Callithrix jacchus: one gene and its partners. The protein of the gene in region 3 binds, or shares a complex with, the protein of the main gene of each other region. Links are inferred from orthologs where the notes say so. Each region holds a gene or a part of one and is shown on either strand. Other genes may lie near its edges.

Region 1 (4,169 bases), on a different chromosome or scaffold from region 3:
CTTGTAGAACTTTTTTAAAAATACAAAGTTATAGTTTTTGCACTCAGACTAGTTTTCTTTGTACAAGTAGAATTTTAAATAAACACATTTTTAAACTTTGGTGAAAACAAGAACCACTGAAGAACAGGACAAAATGGTCAACAAACAGGTAGGGCTGGAATAAACTCAGTGGCAGGAGACTGAGTTCACATTAAATCAGACTAGCTCTGTTCCTAGAACACAGAAATTGCTCCATTATGTGGTTTAGCAGAATATGAGCAAGTTGCTTTCAGGATGAATTATGGACTTACAAAGCAAAAGGTCAAATATTTCTAAAATGCATTATATCTACAATGTATGATTTCTGGCAGAAAGATTATGAACATAAGCAGATAAAATCATTAGCTCAAGAAACTTATAGGAATCAAGGAGATAACTGGAAATAGAATTCAAGAGCCCCCTGGGCTGTATTCCTTTCTAAGAGATCTTTGAAAATATACTTCTCTTTCTGACCATGTAGAGTAGCAACAGAAAGTTCAAACAACAAGAGTAATGCATCATAAGGCTTCCCTGGAAATTGCCTACTCTGGAATTTCACAGTAGCATTGAGAGTTACAGTGAGAAGATAAAACTCTGATGGCTTTTAAAATTCAGCATTTCAGATTTTAAAAGAAATCTAAGTTCTAGGCTGGGCGCGGTGGCTCACGCCTATAATACCAGCACTTTGGGAGGCTGAGGTGGGTGGACCACGAGGTCAAGAGATCAAGACCATCCTGGTCACAAGGTGAAACCCCGTCTCTACTAAAAATACAAAAATTAGCTGTGCATGGTGGTGCATGCCTGTAGTCCCAGCTACTCGGGAGGCTGAGGCAGGAGAATTGCTTGAACCCAGGAGGTGGAGGTTGCGGAGAGCCAAGATAGTGCCATTGCACTCCAGTCTGGGTAACAATAGTGAAACTCCGTCTCAAAAAAAAAAAAAAAAAAAGAAATCTAAGTTCTGTCTTAGACAAACTAAATGTAGTAGTTATATTTATATCCCCCCTTCCCTCTCCTAAAGACACAGGAATTATGCCAAGGGATTGGGAAACTGTTCAGCAGAGTATTTCACTAAAAAAGTCCTATACAGCCACTAAATGTTTACCTGGGGTTATCTGAGAGTCGAAGGTAACATCTCACTACATGCTTCAGCAGACGGGCAGAAGGTTCTTTGGACAACTGCAGGACCATCTTACCCTGTTTCCCCCCAAATAAAGGGAGGGGTTGGAAAAAACACACAAAACACAAAAAATTCTAATTGACATCAGAAATCAGATAGTCCAAGAATCATACAAGGTTCCAAAATTATTACTTCTAGTCAGAAGACTGGAGTTGTTCAGTGCCAGTTATAAAGAGATTAAACTGTGTGATGAGAAGTACTTGTAAAAGGGATAGATCAAAGAACTCACCAAGATCATGGCAACATGGGAGAAACGCTCATATGTCTGACATATATAAGCCAAACCAGTGTCATCTAACAAGATCTTCTGGAGGATGAATGTGGCAACCTGAAGCAAAATAAAATCGAAGAGTTTATAAAGTTGCTCAGATTTATCTTCTCATTGCCCCAGGCATGATTATCAATCGGAAAATTGAGCAAGCAGGGATCCTTGTATGTTATATACAACTTTAAAATATACGTATAGTACAAATAATAAATATTGTCATAGTGAACATAACTTTGTGCCAGTTTTTTTTCAAGAGGCTTTACATGCTTTTATCTTTTTATAATCAATTCAGCTATGCCTCATCTCTTCCAGATGAGGTAAGACCTTTCCTGTTCTTAAAAGATCTTTAAAGCCAGGCGTGGTGGCTCACGCCTGTAATCCAAGCACTTTGGAGGCCAAGGTGGGCAGATCATCTGAGGTCGGGAGTTCAAGACTGGCCTGACCAACATGGTGAAATCCCGTCTTAAAAAAAAAAAAAAAAAAAAAAAGACCTTTAAGAAGTAAGTCGTCCCCCGCCCCCACCACCACCACCGACGGAGTTTCGCTTTTGTTACCCAGACTGGAGTGCAATGGCACGATCTCGGCTCACCGCAACCTCCGCCTCCTGGGTTCAAGCAAATCTCCTGCCTCAGCCTCCCAAGTAGCCGGGACTACAGGCGAGCGCCACCATGCCCAGCTAATTTTTGTATTTTTAGTAGAGACCGGGTTTCACCTTGTTGACCAGGATGTTCTCGATCTCTTGACCTCGTGATCCACCCGCCTCGGCCTCCCAAAGTGATGGGATTATAGGTGTAAGCCACCGCGCCTGGCCAGAAGTAGTAACATTTTTAAGCTTCTCTTCGATTATTCCGATAGTAATAAAAAATATCCTGACTGTGAAGCTAATAACTAGCCTCAATTTTCCCCTCAACTTAAACTTATTAACTCTTACATAGAAGAGATATTAAGACATTAATTTCATTCAAATCAGACAATCATGATACAATACTCTTTCTTGGCTGCTCATCAGAATGAATTGTGGAATTAATTTACTATTTTATTGGGGTTAAAACACTGTAGTAGGCTGAATAATGGCTCTCAAAGATATCCAGGCCCTAATCACCAAACTCTGCAAATGTTATCTTAAACCAAAAAGCGGACTTTGCAGATGATTAAGTTAAGGATCTCAAGATGGGGGATTATCCTGGTTTATCCAAGTAGGCCTTAAATGTAACCACAAGTATCCTTAACAGAGATGTAGAGAAGGTCAGGCAAAGTGGCCCATGCAGGTAATCCCCGCACTTTGGGAGGCCAAGATGGGAAGACTGCTTGAGGCCAGAAATTCAAGGATGCATTGAGTTATGATCATGACACTGCACTCCAGCCTGGGTGACAGGCAAGACCCCATCTCTTGAAAAAAAAAAAAGAGAGAGATGTAGAGAGAGATTTTACCACAAAGGAGAAAGCAATATGATAAGCAGAGAGAGATTTGAACATGCCACACTGCTGGCTCTGAAGATGGTGGGGGATGGAGGGATGGGACCATAATCCAGGGAATTTAAGAAATGCAGTTCTAGAAGCTGGAAAAGGCAAGAAAACGACTCTCCTTTATATTCTCCAGAGAAAGAATGACCCTCCTGACACTTTGACTTTAGGTTAGTGAAACTCATTTAGAACTTGGGACTTCCAAAATTGTGAAACAGTAAACTTGTATTGTTTTAAGCCACTAAGCTTCTACCTTGTGGTAATTTGTTATAGCAGGAGCTTATATAGGAACTTAATATAAACATATACAAAGAAGTGTGTTAAGTGTACTAATATTAAGTGTACCTTGATGAATTTTTACCTCTGTACACATTTTGTACTATAACCAGATTAAAATACAGAATATTTGGGAGGTAGAGGCAGGCGGATTGCTTGAGCTTAGGAGTTCAAGACTAGCCTGGGCTACATGGCAAAAGCCCATCTCTACTAAAAATACAAAAAATTTGTTTGGTATGGTGGTGCGCACCTGTAGTCCCAGCTACTCAGGAGGCTAAGGCACAAGAATTGCTTGAACCTGGGAGATGGATGTTGCAGTGAGCCAAGATCATGTGATTTCACTCCAGCCTAGGTGAAAGAGTGAGACTGTTTCAAAAAGAAAAAAATAATATTTCTACCAACTCAGGATTCCAGCATTCCCTTGTACCTTTCTCCAGTCAATGTCCTTCCCTCAGAGGTAATCATGAATCCAACTTATTGCCAGTAATTGGCTTTGCTTTCTCTTCACATAATCAACATACAGTATGAATTCCTATGTGTCTGGCTTCTTTTGCTCAACAGTACTTTTGAGAGTCATTCATATATTGTACATTTAAAATAAAAAATTTTAAAACAGCCAGGTATAGGGATGTATGCCAGTATCACAGCTACCTACTCGAGAGAATAAAGTGGGAAGACTGCCCAGGAATTCAAGGCTATAGTGTGCTATGATCATGCCTGTGAATAGCCACTGCATTCCAACCTGGGAACCATAGTGGGACCTCATCTCTTTAGAAACAATAAATTGGCCAGCCACAGTGGCTCATGCTTGTACTCCTAGTACTATGGCAGAAGGCAGGAAGATCCTTTGAGCCCAGGAGTTCAAAGAATAGCCTTGGCAACATGAAGACCCTGCCTCTACAAAAAATAAAAATAGCCGGGCGTGGTGGCTCACACATGTAATCCTAGCCCTTTGGGAGGCTGAGG
Region 2 (4,736 bases), on a different chromosome or scaffold from region 3:
GACGCAGGGCGGCTTCCGGGCGCGGGGCGCTGGGCCCCGGGGCTGGTCCCGACGTCGCTGGCCTTGTATGGTCCGGAGACGCGGTTCCTCCGGGGCCCCTCCTAGACACGCGGCCCCTATTACCCACACACCCTGGCCTCGCGGGGCCAACCACGGTGGGTGTCCGAGGCCTCGGGCCTCCAAGGTTCGGAAATACCAAGATCTGGTAATTCCTGGGCTCCAGGGTCCCGGGTGGCCAGAAACCCGCAACTCCGAGCCACCAGGGTTCCAGAGTCTAAAGCGCCAGGGGACTCAACCTGAGACTCCTAAATGTAGAGATCCTAGACTCTTGAGACCCTAAAACCCGCTTCCTCCCAACATCCCAAAGGCGTCGAAGCCCCCCAGGAACCCCGAGTCCCGAAACGGGTTCCGTTACCCCAGGCTGCCCCGCCCCGCGCCCGCCCCCGCTCGCCCTGGGCGCGCGCCCCAGCACATTCCGTCCTCTCCACCCGGCCCCTCCCGCCTCCCGCGGCCCGGTGGGGACGGAAACATCCCGTACCCGCTCGCGCGCGCCCGCCGGAGAGCTGGGTCAAGGAGTTCGGCAAGACCGGAGCGCGGTGCCCCGACGCCCGGGAACTGGCTCCCCCAGTTCTCATCTGGTGACCTCACCTGGTCACACCCTTTCAGGTGAACGGCCAGGCCTGGTGACGTCACTTCCTGCCAGGTAAGCGCCGCGGGGCTGGGAGGAGCAGAGCTGACTGGTTCCAAAAAGTCAACCCCTTCCCTCCCCATTCTTGTCTCTAGACCGCGAAGAAGCGAGGATCCCAGCTTACACGCAGATTCCGTTTATTTAAAAATTTTCAAAAACACAAAAATAGACTTTTAAGGTAACAATATATATTACTAAATATATTATAGTCTACTTATAATAATTATACCGTCGTTTCCAATATTACAAAAAAAGAGGAAGAAAAATACGAGGGAAGCAGACGACCCAATATATATAAATACTATAAAATCATATTAGAATAAATAAAGTCGTCATAAATAAAGACCCACTGATTCATGGGTAGGGTTTGGCATCAGCTTTGGCTACTTGCTTTTGGAGGGTAATTTGAGCACCAGGATCCCCCTCAGGGGAGGTTCCAGTTACCAGGAGACTCTGGAACCTCAGATCTCTAAAAACTGGAGGGGCAGAGAAGGCCTATTATTCACAGCACGTAAGATTCCAGGAGACAGATTTGCGCAGGGAAGAGGTGGGGAGAGGGTTCATTGCCTCCCTTAAATATGCTACATTTTTTTTTAAGAACCTCAGAAGACACTCCATCCCCCACTATGAATACTGAGCTTGCACACTTGGGGACCTGCCCCAGCTTGAGGTCAGGGGAGTGGGTTAATGCATTCTGGAAAAGGGGGTTACTTGATTACTGTCCCCCAAGTCTCCACAGCCCTGGGTCCATGCAAAGACCACAGTGCAAGAGATGTGGCTTCCCCCGTGAGATCCAACTGATCTGGCGGGGCAGAGTCACTTGTCATTCAGAAACAGAGATGCGATTGAAAATGGGGAGTCGCCGGGGGGCTGCCGTGGGCTGGGGTGGTGCAAAAATCCCCGCCTCGAAGACTGGAGAGTCAGAGCCCCCCAAGCTGCTGCCGCTGCTGGCGTATTCATCAGGGTCAGATCCCAGGGATTGTACAGAGGGGCTTCGAACCAGGCCACCCAAGGCCCCCCCCCAGACGCTCATAGGGGTGGCCCTTCGGCAGGAGGGGCAACAGACCGGGGTGGGGTCTCTTCGAGCCACAGGGGTACCAGGGGCAGCAGAGAAGGCAGAGGGTGACAGTGGAAGGTCCCCAGGTGGTGGCGGGGAGCTGGAGGGCGAGAAGGAGCAGGACAGGGAAGGGCCAGCCAGGCCTGGCGGTGGTGGTGAGGTCCGGCGGCCGGAGGGCAGGCCAGAGAAACTGATGCTCTGGCGAAGCACAGGAGGGTGGCCCGGGGCTGCCAGGTCTTCGCTGGGGTTGTGGATGAAGTGGCAGCGAGAGCCGTAGGGGCAGCGGCCCTGGAGGTAGAACTTGTGGCAGAGTTCCGTCTTGTACTTGGGGTGGCGATTGGCTTGGCGCAGCTCGCCCAGGCCATGGGCAAACTGGCATTTGGCCCCATAGCGGCAGCGCCCACTCTCTGAGAAGGTCCGACACAGCTCAGTCTTGTAGCGGGAGGAGGTGGTGGGGGTGGCTGTGGGCGAGGTGGGTGAGGGTGACAGCTCGGGGCCCAGGTGGGGAGCCAGCGGTGCGAAGCCAGGGGGTGGGGGCACCCAGCCAAAGCTGCGGCCCTCCACCAGGCTGGTGGAGCGGCCAGGCAGGCGAGAGATGACCCCAGACGGGCTGGAGTCAGAGGGGCTCAGGCTCCAGAGTCCCGAGGAGCCCCAGCCTGGGCTGGACTCAGTCTCTCCGTGGTCAGATGGCACGGGCGCATCAGCGTTCAGCGACAGGAGGCTCTGCGGAAATGGGTCGGTTAAGGCACCCGAATATGCAGGGCGACGCCCCACCCCAGCTGCAGGGATCAAGAGCTTGCCAGGCCGGTTTGTGGGCTCCCGGCCTGAGCCCCACCCGCTCGCAGAAACTCCCAGGTTCCAGATGCCAGGAACCCAGATTTGGAGATTCCGAGTTTACCCCCGACCGAGGCATTATCCCGAGGGACCCAGGAATTCCTGTTTCACCGGCTGGACCAAGAGGGGTCCCCGAAGTCAGAGCGCACCCCTGTTTCCCAATTTTGAGTCTCTGGACCTCCCCGGATATGACCCACACGTCGGGATCTCCAGTTTCACAACTGGAGGAACCGGGCAAAGTTGACCCAGGAGTCCGGATCGCTTTGGTTTTAGGGTTTTCAGAGAACTACGGTCAGGGACTGGAGAGACGTAAGTCGGATCCCCCCACCCTAAGACTTCAGCCCCAGACACGCCTCCGCGCAAAACCACGCCCTCAGCAACCACTAGGGATGAGCCAGGTATGGGGGCCACTTCCGCCTCCAGGCAGCCTCGGTGTGAGAAAAGTTCTCCGACTTTCCACTTTCCCGGGCCGCCCCACCCATGTTTGAGCCAAGACCCGGGAGACCAGAGCTCCATTTCACCTCCAAATCACCAAGCGGGTCTTGAGAGTAGAAGGCAGGGGCGCCGAACTGGCGCACTAGGGGGCCCCAGTTGGAGAAGGGAGGCAAGCTCCAGTCCCGGGCCGGAGCTTGCAGCTCTAGAGAGCTGGGAGTCAGGCGTGCAGGTGCCGAGTGGCGGGGACTCACCTCGTAGATGGCGGTGAGATCCATGGTGTAGCGGTTGGCCATGAGGAAGTCGGCCAAGTGTGGGAGCGCTGAAGTCAGGCTGAGGCTGGCAGGGAGAGCCAGAGTCTTATAGACGGCTTGGGGCGGGGCCGGGGGCGGGGCAGGAGGGGCGCTTCCCGGACGCGCGCCCCTGGCGCAGCCTGGCTGGCCCTGGACTGGTTCCCTTCCGCCCGGCCCTGGGCCAGGACGCGCCTGAGTTTGGCCGGTGGACAGCCGCGACCGGGCGGGGAGTGCGTGGGGCAGGGGTGGGAGTCGAGGTGGGGGTGCGGATGGCGGGGCGCCTGCCGAGTTTTCAGAGCTGGAGACTGAGGCTTGTAGAAGGGAACTGGGACGGAGGTGGGGGCAGGGCTCCAGGGGCAATTGACAAGGGCAGAGGCCCGATGGGGCGTGTGCGTGCGACACAGAAGAACGGGGGCGACGAGAGACACGCAGAGGGGTACAGACAGACAGGGAGAGAGGCAGAGAGAAAAACATCAACAGAGACCCAGAGAAGGATAGAGAGGGTGAGGAGGGGAGGGAAGGTGGGGAGAGAGAGAAAGTCCCAGAGACAGATTCAGAGGGAGAAGAGGGTTGGGAGAATCACAGAAACAAACCGAAAGGGGCTGAACGAGTGGCTCACGCCTGTGATCACAGCACTTTTTGTGTTTTTCTTTCTTTCTCTCTCTCTCTCTCTCTTTCTGTGTTGCTCAGGCCGATCTCGGGCTCCTGAGCTCTAGTGATCCTCCCACCGCGGCCTCCCAAACAGCTGGAATTACAGTTGTGAGCCGCCAAACTCTGCCAATCCCAGCAATTTGAGAGGGTGAGGCAGGTGGATTATCTGAGATCAGGAGTTTGAAGTCAGCTTGGGCAACAGCGAGATCCCATCTCTATAAAATGTATTATTAAAAAAAAAAAAAAAAAGATGACACCTGTTGTCATTGAGAAAAATAAAGAAGGAAGGAAAGACTGGACACAAAAGGAGAAAGACTATGAGAAACAAGCACTTAAAGAAAGAAATCTGTAGAACAAAGCCCCAGGAAAGAACCAGCAGGCCTTGGAGAAGAATTCTCCAAGAACTGCCTGCCTTGGGTGGTCTCACTCCCAAAAAGCCCAGACAGATAAGGAGGCTGGGACCGCCCTCCCGATCACCACTTGCTGGGATTGGGTGAGTGAGTGAGTGGGTTGGGGTCCAGGACACCTGGTGAAGCTGAAAAGGGGCCTCCTTTCCCAATTAACAGGGCGCCTCTAGCCCTTCACTTTCAGGCAGATAATCTGTTCTTCTGGGCTGATCATTGTTCTAAGTGCTTTAAGTATGTGCAGTAACCCTAACAAGCCAGGTGATGTGCCCATTTAATGCAGGAGGAAACCATAGTCAAGTTACTCTTCCGCCTGGCTCACACCTGTAGCCCCAGCACTGTGGGTGTCGGAGGTGGGAGGATCACCAGGGCTCAGG
Region 3 (4,763 bases):
GCTCACACCTGTAATCTCAGCATTTTGGGAGGCCGAGGTGGGTGGATTTCAAGGTCAAGAGTTCGAGACCTGGCCATTATGGTGAAATCCCGTCTCTACTAAAAACTGAAAAATTAGCCAGGCATAGTGGCGCTCGCCTGTAGTCCCAGCTACTCCGGAGTATGAGGTAGAAGAATTGCTTGAACCCGGGAGGTAGAGGTTGCAGAGATCGTGCCACTGCACTGCAGCCTGGGTGACAGAGCGAGATTTAGTCTCAAAAAAAAAAAAAAAGGTTCAGATGCTAAATTTCATGTTTTTTTTTTTTTGAGACGGAGTTTCGCTCTTGTTACCCAGGCTGGATGGAGTGCAATGGTGCAATCTCGGCTCACTGCAACCTCCGCCTCCTGGGTTCAGGGAATTCTCCTGCCTCAGCCTCCTGAGTAGCTGGAATTACAGGCAGGCACCATCATGCCCAGCTAATTTTTTGTATTTTTAGTAGAGACGGGGTTTCACCATGTTGACCAGGATGGTCTCGATCTCTTGACCTTGTGAACCACCCGCCTCGGCCTCCCAAAGTGCTGGGATTACAGGCGTGAGTCACTGCGCCCGGCAAATTTCATGTTTTTTACCATCATTTTTTTTTTTTTTTCAGTATATATTTTTTTTTTTTCAGTATTTTTTTTGGCACAAGAGGTAATATGAGACAGATGGCCAGGCGATCACCTGCTAAGCCTAGCCTGAGAGCAGGGGTGAGCAGGGGATAGGTTTTAATTTCAAAAGGTAATAGAGTTAACCAGTCAACACTTCCTTCCAGTCCTTTCTCTTTTGGGTACAGGTGAGCATAAAATCTTACCAATTATCATAGTTAACAAACAAACCATAGCAAAATATGTCTCTATGCTTTTCCACTTGAGAGCAAAGGACATGGGTATCCTTTCTTAGACGGCTCCTAGGACTTAAGCCAGGAAGAACACTTGTGTTTCCTTCAATAGGCAGAATTAAAAGAGAAAATTCCCTTGACGAAAGCGAAGCAAGCGAGGACCAGGTGGCCACCTGTGTGACTACATCCCCCAGCATGTACTGCTCCTTCTAGGGCGCAGCCAGTGACGGAAGAAGACGCGGTACTTCTCCGATGAGAACAGGGTAGGGAAGCGCGACTACATATCCCAGGATGCAAGGCGCCCCAACTCTAGTCACTATCTGACTTGCTTTCTGGCTGGTGTTCCCCGCCAAAGGGACACTAGGGGGGCGGAATGTTTCGGTTGGTACTCCCCGAAGTCTACTGGACTGTGACATTTCGAAAGAGAAAGGAAAGTGGAGGAAGGCTGTTTCACTGTAACTCAAAGTAGTTCCTGCACAAAGTGGCGAGGAGCTATGGGTCCTTTCCATAATTTATTGTTCCTCAAAGGCAATGCCAAGCGCCACTGGTCGCAGCCCTCCAGGGCAGGTAGGAAGTCCATGAAGCCCCAAATCGAAGTTATCAGCGTCTCTCTATTGGCCCTCGCCTCGAGCGCAGGCGCGAGGGCTCCGACTCAGGTCCCCTGGGCCTGGTGAGCGGCAATTGGCTACAGTCCACGAAGTAGAAGTCTGGATTGGTAGTTGCTAGCAAAAGCCTGGTTTCTTCCTCGACTTCTGCAAGTGATAGAGTGTGATTGGTTTAAATCCGCGGGTAGCTGTCGGTGATTGGGCGGGAGCCACAGGCGGGGCGCGGCCATTGGCTGGCGCTGGGACCATCCCTCCTCGGGCGGGCAGCGAATGATGAAATGGGAACGGGGAGGGGAAAGGCCGCGACGTGAGCGCGCGACCTCCGGCGCCATTTTGTCGAGAAACAAGCGGAGTTAACCGAAGAGGGGGTTGAGGAGAGCTGGAGTCGGGGACCCAGGAGTTTCCTGTGTTCAGCGCTGCTGGAGCCGTCTGAGGTGAGGCGGGCTGGCGTCAGGGCCTGGGGTACGGTGGCGGTGTTAGCTTGGGGACGCCAGTGCCAGTGGGAGGAGGAACAGGGGTGCACCTGGGGCCACTGGAAGCGTTTCCCGGAGCTCCGGGGAGTGAGAGGCAGCCGGGACGGGCAAGTGGGGCGAGGCGGGAGACGGCTCTCGGAGGCTTCGCGCTCTGAAGATGAGGCCAGCGAGAAGGCTCTAGGAAGCGGAGGGTAGAGCGCGGGATGAGACCCGGGGTGGCCTCTGTCCCGGGCCTGGAGGCTCAGGGGGCGGCAGTGGCGGCAGTTGGTGTCGCTGGGCCTGGCTTCGCGCGGGTTGCATCCTCCTGAAACCCCCCCACGACCTCCTCAACTACTCTTTCTCACTCTGCACCCGGATGGGTGCAGTGGGCATCGGCTCCCGAGGCCTAGCGCTTCGGATGGGGGGAACGGTGTTTGGAGTTTTTGCACGTTTCCAGTTTTTCTCAGTGTGCTCGGAGCTGCCACTCTTCCCCCTCTTACGCCCCCTGCACATTGTCAAAGCCCCCCATGTTTCGGGTGTCCCCGGATGGGAAGGGCGGGCGGGAGCGAGCACTTCCTTATTACTTGCCACAGGTTTTGTTCCACTAGCGCGCCCGGGCGCTCACACTTTCTTTGAAGTCGGCCCCCACCTGCTCGGTCCGGTGTCTGCAATAGTGGCGGTCCTGTTCACCCAAGACAAGTGTCCCGCTAGTGAGCTGAGCACTCATAGGCCTGAAGGCTGACGAGAGATCCTCTGCAGGTCTTGTAGAGGTACTTAAGGCCAAAGACAAATAATACTTTTTTCAGTACCACCCTCTGCAGAATTCACCCAACAGGGCTCACAGATACTAACTCCGCAAGGAGTAAACTTTGTAGATGAAAAAAGAATGCTTGATATCTGTGCATTTGAAAATGTTATATTTAAAATAAACTTTATGACAAACTTTTCCCCTAAAGTTAAATGTCACGTTTCTTAGGACTGTAATAAATTAAAGGCAGTTTTCTTCCTGAAAACTGAGTAACAATAGTTAATCTCCCTGCCTGTTCCTCGACAATTTGATCGCCTGTGACTACTTGGATTTTTTTTTTAAGTGTATAATTGAGTAAATACAAGTAAACTTTTTGAAAAAAATGCTGAGCGTTTTCCTTATGACAGTCCCTTTGATAGGAATAGGGAATACATGGATTAAGAAACTGAGGGAGGGCAAGTAAAATATTAGGAAGAAGATCAAACAGATTAAGAACAAATTTTCTTTTTCTTTTTTTCGAGACGGAGTTTCGCTGTTGTTACCCAGACTGGAGTGCAATGGCACGATCTTGGCTCACCGCAACCTCCACCTTCTGGGTTCGAGCAATTCTCCTGCCGCAGCCTCTCGAGTAGCTGGGACTACAGGCGTGCACCACCATGCCCAGCTAATTTTTGTATTTTTAGTAGAGACAGGGTTTCACCTTGTTGACCAGGATAGTCTTGATCTCTTGACCTCGTGATCCACCCGTCTTGGCCTCCCAAAGTGCTGGGATTATAGGCGTGAGCCACCGCGCCCGGCCTCAAATTTTATTTTTCTAGAGGTACTTGGATTTAATAGTTAAGTGGTCTGTGGTCCAGGTTTGTATTCCTACCCAACAGAGGATTTTAGCTATTAAGAAGGTAGGTTGTAACAGTTTAAATAATTACGTTTTAGGACACTGCGAATTGTTACCTTGTCTAAGGAGAAAACACATTGATGATACATGGTTTTAGGTGGCTAGCTGTGCTTTGACTGAAATGATGACATGTTGATAAAACTTGTTTGGAGAGTTGGTCCCTTTTCAACAAATATGGGTCTTCTGAGTCTTAGTGGAAATAAGTCTAGAATTGATTGGGTGCTGTGGCTCATGCCTGTAATCCCAGCACTTTGGGAGGATGAGGTGGGTGGATCACCTGAGGTCAGGAGGTCGAGACCAGCCTGGCCAACATGGTGAAACTTCATCTCTACTAAAAATACAAAAACTGGCCAGGCGCAGTGGCTCACGCCTATAATCCCAGCACTTTGGGAGGCCAAGACGGGTGGATCACGAGGTCAAGAGATCGAGACCATCTTGGTCAACGAGGTGAAACCCTGTCTCTACTAAAAATACAAAAATTAGCTGGGCATGGTGGTGCACACCTGTAGTCCCAGCTACTAGGGAGGCTGAGGCAGGAGAATTGTTTGAACCCAGAAGGTGGAGGTTGCGGTGAGCCAAGATCGTGCCGTTGCACTCCAGTCTGGGTAACAACAGTGAAATTCTGTCTAACAAAAAAAAAAAAAAAAAAAAAAAAAAAAAGATCAAGACCATCCTGGTCAACATGGTGAAACCCCGTCTCCACTAAAAATACAAAAATTAGCTGGGCATGGTGGCGCATGCCTGTAGTCCCAGTTACTCGGGAGGCTGAGGCAGGAGAATTGCTTGAACCCAGGAGACAGAGGTTGCAGTGAGCTGAGATCGTGCCATTGCACTCCAGCCTGGGTAACGAGCAAAACTCTGTCTCAAAAAAAGAAAAAAGGAAAAAAAAAAATACAAAAATTACCTGGGTGTGGTGGCAGGCACCAGGAGGTTGAGGCAGGAGAATTGCTTCAACCCCAGAGGTGGAGGTTGTGGCCAGCTGAGATTGCACCACTGTACTCCAGTCTGGGTGTAAGAGTGAGACTCCGTCGTCCCCCCCCCCCCCCGCCAAAAAAAAAAAGGCTGGACGTGATGGCTCACACCTATAATCTCAGCACTTTGGGAGGTCGAGGCAGGCTTATCACCTGAGGTCAGGAGTTCAGGACTAGCCTGACCAACATGGTGAAACCTTTTCTTGGGGGAAAAAAAAAAAGAAAACCGGGAG
Region 4 (4,848 bases), on a different chromosome or scaffold from region 3:
ACCTGCCACCACGTCCAGCTAATTTTTATATTTTTAGTAGAGATGGGGTTTCCCAGCATTGGCCTCAAACTCCTGACCTCAGGTGATCCACCTGCCTCAGCCTCCCAAAGTGCTGATTACAGACATGAGCTACCATGCCCGGTCTGAAAATGGGGTACTTTAAAAATAGATGATAGTGGCTGCCTGACTAGTTAACAGAGGGTCTTCTGGATACGTTTCCTAATACTCTCCTGCCCTCAGGAAACTCCAGCTCAACGTGTTCTTAGTTCTGGTAAAATAGTAATAATGGTGTCAGAATGTGAAATTAACATTAGGCACATCTCGTCACAGTAACTTCACAGCCTCACAGACCGTCTATAATTTGACTCTTAAAAATACAAAATAGCTTAGTTGATCTTGCCACCTGCCTAGCCCTTTTGGCCTAGAGTAATGGATTGATCTGTTTATAGTGGTCCTTTGAAAAGGCAGAACTGGAGCAGTGGGAGAGGTAGGATTCGTGTTGACCTTAGAAACTTCACCCAGAAAGTGAAGCTCATTTAAATTGTTATATTTTCTAGTAAAAGGATGATTACAGTTTCATTAAGCTACTTAATTCAGGCCCAATCAGATCTGCAGTTCTCTAGTCTGGGAAGACTAGCAGGGTTGGATTTTCTCTTTCCTGGCTAAGAAATTGCTTTTCCCCTACCCGCCCCGGGATTCTTGATATGCACCTTTGCCCAAAAAGACAGCTGTCCAGTATTTTCCCCACCCTCTAAACACACCTTCAAATGAAGGTTCCTGATTGAGCCAATTTGCTGTGGAGGAAGTTAGCTGTGGAATGTGAAAGCAGTCTAATTGTCTAGCTAAATCCTCCTGCTGGGAGCGTAATACACGTAACACTGAATTTCGTGCTGGTATCTTCAAATAGTGATGCATTTCAGATGAGTTCATCTTAATTCACTTATTTTTGCCTTCTACATCTGTCTTGATTGGCAGCCACACTGGCTGCATTCCAGTGTGGCATTCAGTATGGCGGATTTAAAGTTGAGGGTGGGAGGGTAAAGTAGGGGTTAGGAACTGTTGCCTAAGGATCAGGTTTAGTTTTATGGGTAACTGGTGGGGTTCCGGAAATGGACGTGGGTCTTCCAGTAGGAATGGCAACATGAAGGACCTCCAACAATTGCTTTAATTAGTGCTTATTCTAGTTTGAGCACTGCCTGTATTCTTAAGGTCAGACGCAGCCCACGGTCGAACCTTCTTGAATACGAGTTGATAACACGAACAGGTCAGAGCTAGAGATCCATCTTCTATTTGAGAGGCAACAGCTGGAATGGGCTTTCCTCCACTAGGAACCCTGAAACTGAGCAATCCAGGGTGAATTAATACTGGTGTCTTGTCTTCCTCCCTTTGATCGTAATATAAACGTTTTTCAAGAAGTGAGTGTGTAGAGAAAAGGCCAAGTAGGAAAGTTACAGGTGAGATTAATGAATTCATACTGTTACTGTATAAATACACAAGTTTTTTAAACAGCACCATTTCCAAGTTATACACAATATGATTACGACTTGGCACAACTTTTAAAGGTGGAAAAGGCTAGTTGCTAGTTCAGTAATAAAAGATCTGGTACATAAAATGATAAGGAGCTGTATTCTACCTGCTACAGACTGTGCATCTTACACCTCCAGCTAGGACAGAAACAAGCCACAAGGAGGGAATACCCGCCCAAATTAATACTGGAAAGTTTACAAAACCTTCACTTCTCATAAGGGTGATGCTACCAGGGGCTTGCTTCATCTGGAATTAGAGTAACTGATTTTTAAGGACAACTAAGAGTATTACTCGCTTCAAACAATAAAATAGTCACTTTGCCGACATTTCATAAAATCGCCAGTTTTAAGCTCAGTTCAGAGGCTTTTAAAAAAATATTCTAGACCTAGTAAAGTGCCTCCATTCATAAAATGAAACATCCAAGATTAGATTGAGACAATTTCATACTGACGCGCATCTAAAATAGGTCGACGTATACAGTAAATAAACAGCGCCTCTATGTTGCCATATTTCAGTTAGTGGAATACACACCCAGCCTTCGCCGTTCTGGATGTGCAAACTAGAAACTGAAGACAAACGGGAATTTCAGCGTCTAGTCCCAACCGCTCCGCACGAAAGTACTCCACACGGTCGCTGCTTTTGAGAAACCAGGACGACGTCCCAAGTCGAGCTGACTGCTGAGCCAGGGGCGAGATGCTGCGCAGACCGAGCGGTTCGAGGGGCGGCAGTAGCGACCCTGGGGAGCCGAGAGCCAGGGTCCTCAGCGCAGCTTCTTACCGGGTGGGCAGTCCCTGGCGCTGCGGGGCGGCGGGCGGGCGGGCGGCGGCGGCGGCACTTTGGAGAGGGGGCAGTACTTGATGGTGTGCGCGTTGTCGCCGCTGGCGCCGCAGAGGGGACACGTGTAGCGGCGCAGCACAGGGCACAGCACTCGCCCGTCGGGGCCCTTGAGGATGTGGGTGGTGTAGAGCGCCATCGCCTCCTTGTTGTTCCGGCAGAACACGCACACCTGCAGCTCCGGCTTCAGCAGCCGGGAGGCCGCCGCCCCGGAGGCCGCGTGCAGCCGGGGCTCTGCCGCCCACGCCGGGGCCCGCTCTTCGCGCGGCGTCGCCTCGCCGGTGGTGGTGGTGGTGGCGGTGGCGGTGGCGGCGGCGGGCGCACAGCCCAGCAGCACGGCGGCAGCGCGACCCGCGAACGGGCTCAGCTCGGCGAAGCGCTCCTCCAGCAGCCCGGCCTCGGCGGGGCCAGTGCAGAGCTCCAGTGCGCGCAGCTCCAGCGCGCCCCCCAGGTAGCGGCCCCGGGACCCCGGCTCGTCGCTGTCGTCGTCGTCGTCTTCGTCGTAGTCGGGCGGTCCCAGCGCTGGCTCCAGCGCCCCGGGCCCGGCTCCCCCGTGTGGGGAGCAGCAGGACGAGTGGGAGGAGGAGGGCGGGGAGCCGCCGCCGCCGTTCCCACCGCGGGCGTAGCCGAAGCGCGGCTCGCCGTCCACCGCCTTGGTGATGAGCGTGGCGAGCCCCAGGTAGTCGTTCCAGGAGCTGAAGGGCTGCGGATGCGCCGGGCCCGGGGCGCTCACGTAGCGGGCGCTGGGCACGAGCGCCATGGGCGCGGGGGCGCGGCCGCGGCGGGGCGACCAGGGGAAAGCCTCCATGGGCTGGCTGCGGGCCGCGCGCCGCCTCCCCGCCGCCGGCGCGGGCCGGACGGAAGACACGCGCCAAGCCTGCCCGCCTGCCTGCCGCGGGGTGGGGCCGCCGAGCCGATTTTTATCGGACCTGCTCCTCCCCGCCCCCCGGCCTCGCCGCCGCGGCCCTGCCCCCTGCGCTCCCCCGCCCCGGCCACCTCGCCCGCGCCCTGGACGGAGGCGGAGCGGAGGCGGGCGGACTGTGAGCGCGCTCCGCTCCGGCCCGCGCGGCTCCCGCGCCCCGTGCGCTGCGCCAGCCTCGCCAGCTGCCGGGCGGCCTTCATTCCGGGAGGGGGCGGGTGAGGCGCCGCCTCGGGCCGCGGCGCTCATTGGCTGCCGACCATAGACCCGGCGCCTCGGGCGCCGCTCCGGATGCTGATTGGTGGGGTCTGGGGAGGGGGGCGTGCTCTTTACGTCCCTGGGAGGTGAGGAGAAAGTAGGGGAGAGCGCCGGGGAGGGGCGGCTGCCGGGGCCGGCTTCGTCTGAGCGCTAGGCCTGTGATTGGAGCAAGTGACCAGGCCTGGGTCTCCTCGGCCTGGTAGTGAGGCCCACCGAAGACGGGGTCAGGGTGGCCACAGGTTCACGCCCCCGTCTCCCAGCCTTTAATGGCCCCAGGCCCGCATCCTGAGAATCCCCGCTGTCCACCCCCTTCTCACCAACATCAGCAAGAAAAGCTGGACGCGATGGAAGGATGCAGCTTTCCCATCACAGCCCGCCCAACCAGCCAGTGGCTTCCGTTTGCACCGCGCGTTGGAACGCTTTCTCCTGTGCGAAATCCACACAAACCCTGAGGTTCGGGGAGGCTGTGGTTCCTGCTGTGGTAAGAGCGGAGGGACGCAGGACTTTTCCCAGCAGCCTTCCTCCCAACAAGTGCTCAGGAACCTCAGCTAATGGGTCGCCACAACACGGTGACTTAGGTCGGGGTTGGGCTGGGTCAGAAAATCTCATGGCTGGAGAGCCCAGGACAGTGATTGGGGTGTGTGTGTGTGTGTGTACCCCCTTGCCCCAGAGGCCTGGGTAAAAATGTGGGTTGTATGTGCACTTTGAAAAAACATGTAATCAATGTTCTGTTTTGTCTCCTTCCTTTCTTTTTCTCTCTTTTTTTTTTCTTCTTGCCTTGTTTTTTTTTTTTTTTTTTTTTTTTTTTTGAGACAGGGTCTCACTATGTTGCCTAGGCTGGTGTTGAACACCTGGCCTCAAGCGATCTTCCTGCCTTGGCCTCCCAAAGTGCTAGGATTACAAACATGAGCCACCACACCTGGCCTCAACGTTATAATTAAACACTTTCAAATGAATAAAACATGTTGTGTAAAAGCCATGGAGAATAAGAGCCAGAAGATGAGTTTTGATTAGGAAGATGACAGGTGGTCTTATCCTTTCCAGCTTTTTAAAAAATTGAAAGTAGGAAAGGCTTTAGATGTTGAGGGCTCTTCTAGGATGAAACCTAGAACTGGGATCAGGAAAATGCCTTCCCTGGTAGATGGGCTGTGGCAGGGTGGGCTGCATGGGGCGGGTGGGGGTTTCCTTCCCCATTCTGGACCATGCAGTGGCTGAGGAAACAGTGAGCCCTCACTAGGCCTGAGGCCACACTCACATGTCTTGGCTGTGCCCAGCACATTTAGAATGGCCCAGCAGGTGATGCCCAGAAC
Region 5 (4,169 bases), on a different chromosome or scaffold from region 3:
CAGGTATGAGCCACCACGCTTGGCCTGACAGAAATAAGATGTAAGATCTCAAAAATGCAGCTATGTTACTATAGGTTAAGTATTCCTTATCCAAAATGCTTAGCACCGGAAGTGTTTCAGGTTTTAAATTTTCTCTAAGTTTGGAATATGTGCATTATACTTACTGACTGAGCATCCTTAATTTGAAAATTCAAAATCCAAAGAACATTTCCTTTCAGCATCATATTGGTGGCTCAAAAGGTTTCAAATTCTGACATTTTGGATTTCAGTTTAGGACACTCATAATCTCTGTTTTGTATATAGAACACTGTAATCAAGTCACCTAGCACCAATGACTATGTCATCTTGACACCAAAAACTAAGTGAAAGATGAGGAATTTAATCAAGTTACTATTATAACTTTCTTTTTTAAAAAATTATTATTATTTTTTAAAGATGTGGTTTCACCATGATGGCCAGGCTAGTCTTGAACTCCTGACCTCAGGTGATCCACCCACTTCGGCCTCCCAAAGTGCTAGGATTACAGGCGTGAGCCACCTCACCCAGCCACTATTACAACTTTCTTTCTTTTTTTTTTTTTGAGATGAAGTTTCACTCGTTACCCAGGCTGGAGTGCAATAGCGTGATCTTAGCTCATGGCAACCTCCGCCTCCTGGGTTCAAGCAATTCTCCTGCCTCAGCCTCCTGAGTAGCTGGGATTACAGGCACGCGCCACCATGCCCAGCTAATGTTTTGGATTTTTAGTAGAGATAGGGTTTCACCATGTTGACCAGGACGATCTCGATCTCTTGACCTCATGATCCACCCGCCTAGGCCTCCCAAAGTGCTGGGATTATAGGTGTGAGCCTTCGCACCCGGCCTATTACAGCTTTCTTAAAAAGTCAGTTAATTTTCCCAGTACATTACCAGATCCTAAAGCTGTGTCCCTAATGATAGCAAAGTTAAGCACTTCCTTTGTCCTAGAGACATTTATTCATTCAAAAGAAAAGCCCACAATGCTTCAGTGGATTGAACTGTTAACCAAACAGTTTAATAATAGGCAGCTTGTGAGTGGTTTTTAGATCGCATGGCTGATGATGACTGGTGGCCAATGCAGATACTAATTAAGTACCCTAATCAAATTGTAAGACAGATGTTTCAGCATTTGTGTATAAAAAAAAAGTCAGTTAATTTATATACGAGAAATCTTTAATTGATCAACTGAAGAAAAAGCCAAAGGCTTGAAATAATTAGCATAAACCATATTCACAGATAGGAAGATGTAACTGCAAATAAAGCATATTCATAGGCCACAGGATGGTATTGATTCCAAGTACAGATTTATACTCACCATGAACTTCTGTACACTAAGAGGGAAAGTAGCGGAATATAGTAAAATCTGCCTGTTTTTAGGTAGCGTGAGAATAATATCCTCCATTATCTGCACAAAATCCTGTGACAGCAACTTATCTGCCTGCAGCATAAAGAAAAGACAATTTTAAAAACAATAAAATAATCTCTAAGGACTTGGGTTAATACATGCTCAAAGAATAAGGCATCACCCAACAAAAGCATCATGAAATGTTTCTGGTTGAATACAATAAATTCTCTCCCGCACTGCAGTCAAATATTCAGACAGGGGCAAAATCTATAATCCCTATCTTCTAGTGAAAAAACAATCTACACTGCAGATAAAACCCTGCCTTCTGAAACAGAATTTAATTAATTAATTTATTTCTAGAGACAGCATTTCACTGTCACCCAGGCTGGAGTGTAGTGGCACAATCACAGCTCACTTCAGTCTGCACGTCCTGGGTTCAAGTGATCCTCTTGCCTCAATCTACTGAGTAGCTAGGACTACAGGCATATACCTCTGTCCCCAGCTCCACAACAGAATTTAAATGTGATGATTCTCATTAAGGAAGTAACATGGTATAGTGTTTCAAAGTATAGCTTCCGAGGCTGGGCATGGTGGCTCATGCTTGTAATCCTAGCACTTTGGGAGGCCAAGGAAGGCGAATCACCTGAAGTGAAGAGTTTAAGACCAGCCTGGCTGATACGGTGAAGCCCTGTCTGTACTAAAAATACAAAACTTGGCTGTGCATGGTGGCACACACCCGTTGCTACCTGGGAGGCTAAGGCAGGAGAATCACTTGAACCTGGGAAGCAGAAGTTGCAGTGAGCCGAGATCGTGACATTGCACTCCAGCCTGGGCGACAGAGTGAGACTCCGTCTCAGAAAAAAAAAAAAAAAAGAAAAAGTACAGGTTCTGGAGCTAAACTGCCAGGTTCAAATCTTGCCTCCTTCATTTCTTAGCTGTGTGGGAATGTTACAGAATGTACTTTAGTTCTACAACTGTAAAATTAGAAAACTAAAATTTGGATGTCTACATAATGTAGTAACTACTTTATAGAGACTTAGAAAAAACTTGGCCTTCAGTTTATTCAGCCACTCCTCTGCTTAAAAATTAAACTTAAACTCCAGCATCTGTAAGAAAAAGACAAAAAGCTGAATTCCTATGAATGCCTATCTACTGTATCTGAAGTATAAAACATATTTTATAAGCAAATTAAAATTTGGATGTCTATATACTGTAGTAACTACTTTACAGCATACCTACCTTATAGGTTTGTTGTATAAAAATTAAATTAAAAAACATGTAAAGCACTTAGTGCTGGTACACAGTGATTAATAAATGTTATCTCTCATTACTTAAAGACAAAAGCTTGATTTGAATTAAATCATGTTACCTAAAACACAAACCCGGCCAGGCTGGTGGCTCACAGCTGTAACCCTAGCACTTCAGGAGGTGGAGGGGGAGGCAGAAGAATCACCTGAGGTCAGGAGGTCAAGACCAGCCTGGCCAACATAGTGAAACCCTCAACTCTACTAAAAATACAAAAATTAGCTGAGTGTCGTGGTACACATTTGTAATCTCAGCTACTCAGGAGGCTGAGGCATGAGAATCACCTGAAGCCGGGAGGCAGAGGTTGCAGTGAGCCGAAATCATTCCACTATAATCTGGGTGACAAAGTGAGTCTCTGTCTCAAAATAATAATAATCATAAAACACAAACCAAATGTGAAAAATACCTCACGTCAAAATATTAACAACACTGATATAATACGAATGCTCCTTGACTTACAATGGGATTATGTTCTGATAAACTCAACCTAAGTTGAAAATATTGCCTAAACCAACTGATCATCATCACTTAGCCCAGCCTCCCTTAAACATGCTAATTAAGGTAGTTACTACATTATGTAGACATCCACTTACCTTAGCTAACAGGTGGGCAAAATCACCTGACAACACTGTATACCGTAGTGTATTGGCTGTCTACCCTTAATGATCATGTGGCTGACTGGGAGCTGCAGTTTGCAGTATATTACTAATGAGAAAAAATATCAAACTTAAAAATTCAAAGTACAGTTCCTAATGAAAGCATATCACTTTCACTGAAAAACTGTAAAGGGAACCATCATAAGTTAAGGACAATCTGCACCTGCACAAAACATGGCTACATCGCAGGACTATAGATTTTATTAAGTTCTTAAAAAGACATTTACAACATGGTGGGATAAACAGAGACCAAAAACCAAACAATACCAAGTAGTATGCACAAAATGAGAAGGGAGAATATATATTACATGCTTTTAAAAAATCACTGAGTAGATAGAGACTTAGAATTAACTTGGCTTTGAGGTTATTCAGCCATTCCTTAAAAATTAAAATAAAACCTAACTTCTGGCATCTCTAAGAAAGAGACAAAATGCTGAATCCCAATGAATGCCTATAATCTACTGCCTCTGATGGGTAAAACACATTTTATAAGCAAACTAATTTAAACTGACTATTTACATGTTTATTAGATTATAAACACGACCAGCTTTTGCTTCATTCGCTGGCAGTTATAAGCAAAGCACAGAAAAGAACAGAATAGTATAATGCCAAATGTAGAGACATTACCTCATCCAATACTATCATCTGGACATGATCAACCTTTGCTACTCCTTTCTTAATAAGATCCAGGATTCTCCCAGGGGTAGCAATCACCACGTGCACTACACAAGATTTAGAAAACATATATTCTCATTAATTTTAATTTTGGCAAAAGGGATAATGTAAAGGTTTACCATATAGTCCTGAGTTGCTTAATGATTAATTCTGAGAAATGCATTGCTATGTGA

What was found.
Region 1: the proteins of CNOT1 (region 3) and CNOT9 are in contact, whole or in part, in a crystal structure (PDB 4CRU), measured with the Homo sapiens proteins. The link is inferred for Callithrix jacchus from reciprocal best matches to the Homo sapiens genes CNOT1 and CNOT9. Residues at the interface, in NP_057368.3 of Homo sapiens: Ile1415, Ala1416, Thr1418, Thr1419, Gln1422, Ile1423, Lys1426, Asp1427, Phe1428, Met1444, Asn1447, Leu1448, Gly1451, Met1452, Met1454, Ile1455, Arg1458, Glu1459, Tyr1548, Gln1549, Arg1552, Met1553, Pro1554, Gln1556, Ile1557, Leu1559, Val1564, Lys1567, Gln1568, Leu1569; in NP_005435.1 of Homo sapiens: Arg19, Glu20, Tyr23, Ile26, Asn27, Ser30, Ser31, Pro32, Arg35, Pro54, Met55, Trp57, His58, Ser59, Phe60, Gly61, Ile63, Ala64, Ala65, Leu67, Gln68, Val71, Asn72, Tyr74, Pro75, Ser76, Ile77, Asn78, Pro79, Thr81.
Region 2: the proteins of CNOT1 (region 3) and ZFP36 are in contact, whole or in part, in a crystal structure (PDB 4J8S), measured with the Homo sapiens proteins. The link is inferred for Callithrix jacchus from reciprocal best matches to the Homo sapiens genes CNOT1 and ZFP36. Residues at the interface, in NP_057368.3 of Homo sapiens: Gln821, Glu835, Asp845, Ala848, Asn849, Phe852, Gln853, Tyr856, Asn894, Glu897, Glu898, Phe901, Gln904, Tyr905, Pro906, Glu909; in NP_003398.3 of Homo sapiens: Arg314, Arg315, Leu316, Pro317, Ile318, Phe319, Arg321, Ile322, Ser323, Val324, Ser325.
Region 4: the proteins of CNOT1 (region 3) and NANOS1 are in contact, whole or in part, in a crystal structure (PDB 4CQO), measured with the Homo sapiens proteins. The link is inferred for Callithrix jacchus from reciprocal best matches to the Homo sapiens genes CNOT1 and NANOS1. Residues at the interface, in NP_057368.3 of Homo sapiens: Ile2327, Ile2330, Lys2331, Trp2338, Glu2350, Phe2353, Gln2354, Val2356, Ala2357, Met2361; in NP_955631.1 of Homo sapiens: Phe40, Ser41, Ser42, Trp43, Tyr46, Leu47, Leu49, Thr51.
Region 5: the proteins of CNOT1 (region 3) and DDX6 are in contact, whole or in part, in a crystal structure (PDB 4CRW), measured with the Homo sapiens proteins. The link is inferred for Callithrix jacchus from reciprocal best matches to the Homo sapiens genes CNOT1 and DDX6. Residues at the interface, in NP_057368.3 of Homo sapiens: Glu1097, Ala1100, Phe1101, Phe1103, Asn1104, Asn1105, Leu1106, Ser1107, Ser1109, Asn1110, Lys1114, Lys1137, Arg1138, Ile1141, Glu1142, Asn1144, Phe1145, Leu1148, Tyr1149; in NP_001244120.1 of Homo sapiens: Phe329, Ser330, Arg331, Leu332, Gln333, Ile334, Asn335, Gln336, Leu357, Gly358, Tyr359, Ser360, Leu384, Arg386, Asn387, Ala402.

What each region holds. Positions count from the first base shown.
Region 1 is NC_133507.1:140,332,026-140,336,194, reverse strand, and holds part of CNOT9 (CCR4-NOT transcription complex subunit 9), read right to left. Parts: intron 2,269-4,169; coding exon 2,176-2,268; intron 1,524-2,175; coding exon 1,425-1,523; intron 1,213-1,424; coding exon 1,121-1,212; intron 943-1,120; coding exon 663-942; 3' UTR 1-662. UniProt on the Homo sapiens protein: Component of the CCR4-NOT complex which is one of the major cellular mRNA deadenylases and is linked to various cellular processes including bulk mRNA degradation, miRNA-mediated repression, translational repression during translational initiation and general transcription regulation.
Region 2 is NC_133523.1:34,892,569-34,897,304, reverse strand, and holds ZFP36 (mRNA decay activator protein ZFP36), read right to left. Parts: upstream 3,347-4,736; 5' UTR 3,308-3,346; coding exon 3,266-3,307; intron 2,469-3,265; coding exon 1,512-2,468; 3' UTR 809-1,511; downstream 1-808. Other genes in the region: uncharacterized protein LOC144580767, read left to right, coding at 334-703. UniProt on the Homo sapiens protein: Zinc-finger RNA-binding protein that destabilizes several cytoplasmic AU-rich element (ARE)-containing mRNA transcripts by promoting their poly(A) tail removal or deadenylation, and hence provide a mechanism for attenuating protein synthesis.
Region 3 is NC_133521.1:16,470,554-16,475,316, reverse strand, and holds the start of CNOT1 (CCR4-NOT transcription complex subunit 1), read left to right. Parts: upstream 1-1,799; 5' UTR 1,800-1,898; intron 1,899-4,763.
Region 4 is NC_133513.1:111,982,703-111,987,550, reverse strand, and holds the start of NANOS1 (nanos homolog 1), read right to left. Parts: upstream 3,258-4,848; 5' UTR 3,170-3,257; coding exon 2,288-3,169; 3' UTR 1-2,287. UniProt on the Homo sapiens protein: May act as a translational repressor which regulates translation of specific mRNAs by forming a complex with PUM2 that associates with the 3'-UTR of mRNA targets. Capable of interfering with the proadhesive and anti-invasive functions of E-cadherin.
Region 5 is NC_133511.1:18,400,608-18,404,776, forward strand, and holds part of DDX6 (putative ATP-dependent RNA helicase DDX6), read right to left. Parts: intron 4,044-4,169; coding exon 3,949-4,043; intron 1,454-3,948; coding exon 1,331-1,453; intron 1-1,330.